2 separate regions of the Mus musculus genome follow, and region 1 is reported to be linked to region 2. The links are microRNA targets in miRTarBase. Many come from high-throughput screens and were not tested one by one. Region 2 holds a microRNA gene; the other region holds the end of a gene's coding sequence.

Region 1 (3,678 bases), not on the chromosome of region 2:
AGCATACTTTTGAATTTACCAAATTGAACTGTTTTACTTATTTCCTGCTGTCTGGGTGGAGCATGTGACCCTGTGAGGGAAGATGGTTGGAACAGAACAGAAAGGGGAAGTCTGTGAGCCATGTGAATTTACACTAAAAACATCATATCTTTACTGTTACTATCTAGCCCATTGCCTCTTCAAAAAGAAGCTGAAATGACTAGGCCAAGACAAGTTCATACCCATTTATCTGTCTATGGGTGATAATAGTTAAATAGCAAAAAATATGGGATGTTTAACAACAAATGACAAAATATGTAAGCTAGCTACTGATTGTAACTTGTGAGTACTCTAGTTCCTTTAACTTTGAAGTGATCAGTAGGACATAGTGGGCATTTTAATGGTACCAAGCTAGTTTCTTATCTTAAACATCTAAAATCTGTTGTTCCTTGGTGGCAGGGAGGTATTCAGTATTAAAGTTGCAAACCAGGTTTGGTTTTTTTTTCCCCTCTACTTGGGTAATTAGGGACACACACGTTAGGTCAGTAGTCTTTCCTCGGTCTTTGAAAGGCTTCATTAAAGCAGCAAATATTTCAACAGGTGCAGTGGACAAATACAAGCAAACAAATGGATTCTTTTCTATTATGGTTTTGTTGCTGATTCGAGTGAGACACGGCTTAACCTAGGACCTATTCATTACAGATGTACACACTTATCATGTCATGTTTGTAGCATGACTCTACACAACAGATTGTGTGCTTTACAATCTTTCCACCCTCTTAAAAAATATCAATGCAATGACCAAGACAAATTAAGCAAATCAAGATGACTGAAAAGCAAGGAGAGGAGTACATTTTGGTTTTGATTTGATGCATCAGCATGTGACATCACTTCCCAGGGAGAAAGGCAGGCGCTGGAGTCTACTGACAGCATCTCCTCACACTGGTGGTGGTCCACAGGGACTTCGACTACAGTTCCCAAGCTTACTGCCTTTCTGCCTCTCTCCTCCTGTTGTCTGATAGCTATATTAGTTTCTAAAGGTATTTTCAAAGAGTGCAAGAAATTCTTATCAGAAGCATTTATGGTTGACTAGGATGACTTCTTTGGACACACAGGAGTGAACACGAAGGTAGGAATCATATAAAGAAGGTAATTCAGAAGCCGGGCGTGGTGGCATCGCATGCCTTTAGTCCCAGCATTCTGGAGGCAAAGGCAGGCAGATTTCTGAGTTTGAGGCCAGCCTAGTCTACAAAGTGAGTTCCAGGACAGCCAGGACTATAAAAAAAAAAAAGACTGGGTGGGGCTAACTTTTCTTTAAATTCATATCGAGCCACATATTGCCCTGCTTAATTTCTCTACAATATTGGCACATCTTGTTTTTATTGAATAGCTGAAAATTAGAAACTTCATATTCAAGAAAGCAATTGAAAATTGAAAAATTGAAAAATGAAGAAAATCCAAATCTTACTTTGCTCCCTAAATATGAACCTATAAAATCACCTGTATGAAGTAGTGTATAATTGTTATGGGCAAATCAAAACTTTAACAATACCCTGAAAATGTGGTGTCTAAATAGATCCTAAGAAATAAGAATAGCACCCACTTCTATTGAAAGGAAAGGAGAAGGAGGGAAGAGGAGGAGGAGGAGGAGAAGAAGAAGAAGGAAAAGAAGAAGGAGGAGGAGGAGGAGAGGAAGAAGAAGAAAAAGAAGAAGAAGAAGAAGAAGAAGAAGAAGAAGAAGAGACATTGTAAAAGTGACTTCAATAATAAAGCACAAAATTCTCCCTATTTATCAGAAAATAAAACAAGACATGAGACATATAATATTTAGTTTTAGCTGTTATGTACACAATAGGAGGTCACAGACCTCTCAAAGAGTGTTGTAAGAATGAGATTGATTTCTAGACACTTTAGGTTTGGAAAATGAGCAAACTCCTAAAGTACCCTGAACAACAATTCTCTGCCATGTTGCTACTGTGTTATAAACTACATGTCTGTCAGTCCCCACAGCTTATGTTGCCAGAAGTGTCCTGGGGACACACTCCAGCTTTTCTGTTCTATTCTCAGTCGTGGGTAGTCCAATCAGTAGAGGGCGGAATTTTCAAGTGTTTCCCCTCCTTGTATAACAAGAGATGTCTTCTGGGATGGAATTCAAGGTCTGGGTTTGGTTTTTGCTTTTGCTTATTGTAGTAAAGAATTATAAATTATAAGTCCCTGTTAGCAGGGCTCAGGAATGACCCCTGGTCTTGTCAGTTCCACACCTATGAATTACTCATGAGATCAAGCTTATGTCACTACTTTGTGCTGGAGGGAAAAACAGAATCTAGTCTACTTGAATATGTCAGCTCTTCTCATTTATTTGGCTTGGATAGTTCAGCACCCCATTAAATCTGCATTAAGCCCCCATTTTAAAAAGTCATCGAAAGATGTACATCATTGCTTAGCAGGCTTCTAAAGCATGGATTCATCCGATTTTTCAGTGTCTCTGCATTTTAAATCAAGTTATGTGTTAGATATGAATTCTGGAAATTAATGGAGGGGTTCTATTGTCTAGCACCCAGCCCTAATTGTGACCTCTCAAAGAAACTGTGTAGACAGGTGTGCAGATTAAACTGGCACAAGTATGGCAGATTGATGGTGAAAAACTAGTTCTGTTTTGTTTTTAACCAAACTTATCCATGTAGATTTTTTTCCCTTTAGCCTTCTTTGAGCTAATAACACTGATTTTTTTTCCACCGTACAGTTAATTTTAATCCACACTGCAAAACTGTACGCAAATATAACATATTCCTGCTTCCCAGAGTTTTCCTTTGACTTAAGAATGACTATGATAATAATTTTTTCAAATCCATTTATTTCTTTATGATCTCCCGATACTCAGTGTTTTCGTAGATACATGTGTAATTCTTTGTGTGTTGAAAAGAAAAAAATGATTGTCCTCAATTCACTTCATGACTTAATATCAAATGAAAAAAAAATGAACCTTCAAGAGAGTCATTTTGTGAAATTAATGTTGAATTGTGCTTAGGTGAGCCAAGGTCTGGAATGCAGATCTAATTCTGCAGCTAAAAGTAAAAATCGGTGGAAGATTTAAAAAATTAGTTGTTTTCATCACAACTCAGGTGCGCAGATGAGCAAGTGCGTGGGTTTTCTACGTGCACCATCTCAAGAGTTGACCATCCCAACAAATGTTAAAGCATGAATTTATACTATGGCATTGAGGAAGATGCCAGTTTTGTTACTGTTTGCGATGTTTTTGTTGCAGCTAAAATCCTTTGCAATTCTTTGGAAAAAAACACACACACACACACAAAGAAACTCATGATTAAATTCATGAACACTGATTCGGCGATGAGACTTGTTAAATATTACTCTCTTTGTCCCTGTCTGAGGGAGGATTGTGTGCGTTTGAAGCTTTGACAGTAACTTCGTCCTGTTTAGATCTGTTCAGGGCCTCCATTTCTCTGGACGCGTGTGAAGCTGACTTCTTCTTCTTTGCCTTCTCTCTCTTCCTTTCCTTGTCGAGAAGTCTATAGTTTATAGCATTGCCAATCAGGAGGTAAGTACCTGATACTAACACGACTGTTCCGCTGGCTATGTACAGGTATTTATATTCTCCAGTTATATCAAGCAATTTACCTGTGAAACAAAGAACACCCTTTAAGAAGGCATGATAAGGTGATGAGGTGGTCTCGCGGA
Region 2 (3,774 bases):
AAACCCGGAGTTAAGTGATAATTCAAACCAGGAGTTAAGCGATAATTCGAACCAGGAGTCAAGCGACAGTTCAAACCAGTCAAGTGATATTTCAAACCAGGAAGGGTCGGAACCACTCAGTGAGGCATCCGATTATAGCATGGATGAAACAATCAACTCATCCGAGACCCAGTCAGACCAAGATGATACTGACCTGGGAGATGACGAGGAAGAGGAGGAAGAGGAAGGTGGTGAAGAGGAAGGTCAGCCCAAGAACTCTCCAGAAGAAGTCGTGGCCACCATGGGGAACGTCATCTCGCTGTTCCTCCGGATGCAAGACCTAAAAGAACAACAGAGAGTGGCAGAAAGGCTCATGATGCAGGCTATCAACGAAGGTCGCCTGCCCTCCCTCAGGCCCTTCTCTGGAGATCGCAGAGACTACCATGAGTTTGTCGTGCTCTGCCAGATGACAATGCAGAACTACCCAAGTATGCTATACAATGATGAGCTGCGGGTGAAATTCGTCATCCGCCACCTGACTGACCTAGCCTTGGAATGGGCCAACGACCTCGTAGAGCAGAACAGCCCAGTGATAAACAACTTCTCAGCCTTCCTGGAGGCCATGTCAGAAAAGTTTGAGTATCGGCAGACCCTGCGTGTGGCGGAAGACGCCATGTTCAACATCAGGCAGGGGAACCGCTGTGCGGCCGATTACATCAATGAGTTCCGGGGTCTGATACCCACCTTAGGCTGGCCAGATGAAGTCCTGCAGGCCCACCTGTGCCAGGGGCTCAACGAAGAGATCAGGCACTATCTGTTCCGGATCCCTCAGCCGAATTCCCTAGACAACCTGATTGTACTTGTCCTGCAACTTGAAGAAAAGCTGGCAGAGAGAAGAGCATTACTCAGGCTGCCACCTGAGTCGCGCCCAAGAAGCGTAGCCTGGATGGATGCTCCCGCCCCAGAGAAGTGGAGGGTAAGCAGCTGGCTGCCCAATGAGTTCCACCCAGACATTGATCGCGATCACCTCTTCTTACTGCTCTTGGTGAGAGTGGACCCCTACCACAGTGTCGCAGTGCGGGCCCTGGTGGACTCAGGAGCAGAAGGGAACTACATGGATGAGAGGTTTGCCCAGGAACACTATGTGGAACTCTATGAGAAGCCTTATCCACAGATAATCCAAGGTGTGGATGGCATCCCAATTGGCAATGAACCCGTCTGGCTGTGCACCGAGCCCCTGGTATGTGTCCACCAGAAGCATTATGAGTACATCGAATTTGACATCTTACCTTCGCCCAACTTCTCCATCGTCTTAGGCATGAAGTGGCTCCGAACCCATGCCCCTGAAGTCGACTGGATGAGAGGCCGGTGTACCTTCCACTCTCCCTACTGTCTGCGGAATTGCTTCACCCCACCTCCACCATGCATCGCACTAGAGACATACAGCATAAGCCTACTGCCCGGATTGCCACACACATACTCAGACCTGGCCGACGTGTTTAACCCGAGGGAGGCAGATGATGAGACTTCCGACCAGCCAAGCTCAGACGGATCCGATGATCTTTCTGAATCAGAGCCCTCTGAGCTTCAGCAGGCTGGAGACAGTGATCAAAGCGGCGTCTTTTACGAGTCTGGGGCCCGAGAGACTTTGGAACCTGTGAGCGCCAGGATGCAAGAGAAAGCCAGGCAGCAAGAGAAAGCCAGGGAGCAAGAGGAATACTGGATACTGTATGACATGCTGACTGACAGACAAGACTACACGCAGATGGTACCAGAGCTATTCGACCAGCTACATGGAGCGGCATGGTTCACAAAACTGGAGCTGCTTGGGATTAAGGAAAGTGAGATGAGGCACACGGTCACACACACGGAAGACACTTGGAGAGCATCGTTCGGTTTCGGCCTTCACCAGATGAGATGCTACCGGCCCTTCACAATGAACTCATACTCTGACGAAGGGAACAACATTGTTCACTTCATCCTAAAAGACATCCTAGGGTTGTTTGTGATTTGCCATGGCAGAGAGGTCCTGGTCTACTCAATGAGCCAGGAGGAACACTCCCAGCATGTCCGCCAAGTCCTGGTCCGCTTTCGGTATCACAACATCTACTGTTCACTGGACAAAACTCAGTTCCATCGCCAGACCGCTGAAATCTTGGGCTTCAACATATCCCCCAAAGGGGTGAAACTGAACAAGAACCTTATGAACCTCATCGTGGGGTGCCCTGTCCCTGGCAGCAGGAGGTGTCTTCAAAGTGTGATTGACCTTGTCTATCCCTATCGCCACTTCGTGGAGAACTTCGCTGTCATCGCAGCACCCCTAGTGAGACAACTGCTGAGTTCAGAGCCCTACTACTGGGGAGAAGAGGAGCAGGAGGCCTTGGAATCCCTGAAGAGGGCTTTCCGCAAGTCGCCCGTTCTCTATCACCCTAAGCCTCAGAACCCATTCTACTTGGAAACAGACATCACTGGGTCATTCCTGTCTGCCTCCCTGGTCCAAACCGACGACGAAACTGGCAAGAAATCTACCTGTGCTTTCTATTCAAGACCCCTCTCTACAATGGAGGTGGAGTACCCTCGAGTGGAGATGAGGATCCTTCCAATCCGGGCTGCCTTCATGGTGTGGTGCCGCTACCTGGAGAACACCGAGGAGCCCATCATGATCCTTCTCAACACAGAGGATCTAGCCTCTCTGAATAATGACAGGCTCACCGTACTTCTCCCCGGGCATTGGGTCTTCTTCTTCTCACACTTCAATTTTGGTGTTATGGAGATGCCAGCTGAAGGTGACACACAAGCACTCTTCCGCAGATGTTGGAACCAGAGAGGCTTCAGAGCAAGGTTTCTGCGCCCACTGCTGCTTATGTCCATTAGGGCAAATCTAAGGTACTTTGACAGATCCTCTGAGACTGAGGATAAAGAGGATGATGAAGAAGAGGAGGAGGAAGATGGTGAAGAAGAAGAAGGGGAGGAGGAGGAAGATGGTGAAGAAGAAGAAGGGGAGGAGGAGGAAGATGGTGAAGAAGAAGAGGAGGAGGAGGAAGATGATGAAGAAGAAGAAGGGGAGGAGGAGGAAGATGGTGAAGAAGAAGAAGGGGAGGAGGAGGAAGATGGTGAAGAAGAAGAAGGGGAGGAGGAGGAAGATGGTGAAGAAGAAGAAGGGGAGGAGGAGGGAGAGGAGGAGGAAGAAGGAGAGGAGGAAGAGGAGGAAGAAGAGGATGAGGAGGAAGAGGAGGAGGAAGAGGAAGAGGAGGAAGAAGAGGAGGAAGAAGAGGAGGAGGAGGAAGAGGAGGAAGAAGAGGAGGAGGAAGATGAGGAAGAAGAGGATGAGGAGGAAGAAGATGAGGAGGTGCCCAGCATGGTGCGGGAGCTACTGGCTGCCATCCCGATGGACCATATCCTCAATGGCTTACTGGCTCACTTCAGTGTGGCCCAGATCCGGGCCGTTGTCCTAAACTTCTTCCGTGGCCTGCTCTACTGGAAGAGTCTCCTGGGTGTGGCAGCTGTCCTGGTGATGTTGAGAGCAAGGCAGCCCCTCTCCCCAGTGCCTGCCCCTAATTTGGAAGTGGCCAGGCCTCAGCACCGGCACACACTCCGACTCATCCTGGACTCGACCCTCATTGCGAGTAGTGGCATGGCCACAGCCATCGCTCAGTTGCTCAGCCAGATGCCCCCTCTAGTGGGTGCCAACACCCTCCCAGCTCGAGAGCTGGCTGAGCTTTTCCTGGGCCCAAGGTGCTGGCATCGGAATGCTCTGCATTCCCAGCCTCCACGGGGGATGCGCTTCACCCCTGG

What was found. Region 2 holds the annotated microRNA mmu-miR-433-3p (AUCAUGAUGGGCUCCUCGGUGU, at 2,622-2,643, opposite strand). A microRNA usually pairs through its seed, bases 2 to 8, with sites in the 3' UTR of a target mRNA and lowers its output. Matches are read on the target gene's strand: a 7mer-m8 pairs with bases 2 to 8, a 7mer-A1 pairs with bases 2 to 7 and ends in A, and an 8mer does both.
Region 1: the mRNA of Slc16a7 is a reported target of mmu-miR-433-3p. Seed matches in the 3' UTR shown: 7mer-A1 at 3,310-3,316, 7mer-m8 at 3,299-3,305 and 7mer-A1 at 2,928-2,934.

What each region holds. Positions count from the first base shown.
Region 1 is chr10:125,224,672-125,228,349 of GRCm38, forward strand. It overlaps Slc16a7 (solute carrier family 16 (monocarboxylic acid transporters), member 7), which reads right to left. Exons shown (of 6, transcript NM_001358915.1): 6 at 1-3,618. The coding sequence ends at 3,341. Among named protein-coding and RNA genes, the nearest start is that of Gm46205, 65 kb to the left of the region's middle.
Region 2 is chr12:109,590,650-109,594,423 of GRCm38, reverse strand. Mir433 (microRNA 433) reads right to left here and starts at 2,709; the gene lies at 2,586-2,709. Rtl1 (retrotransposon Gaglike 1) reads left to right here. Exons shown (of 2, transcript NM_184109.2): 2 at 1-3,774. 6430411K18Rik (RIKEN cDNA 6430411K18 gen) reads right to left here and starts at 2,887. Exons shown (of 1, transcript NR_002848.3): 1 at 1,573-2,887. It overlaps Mir127 (microRNA 127), which reads right to left and starts at 1,578; the gene lies at 1,509-1,578.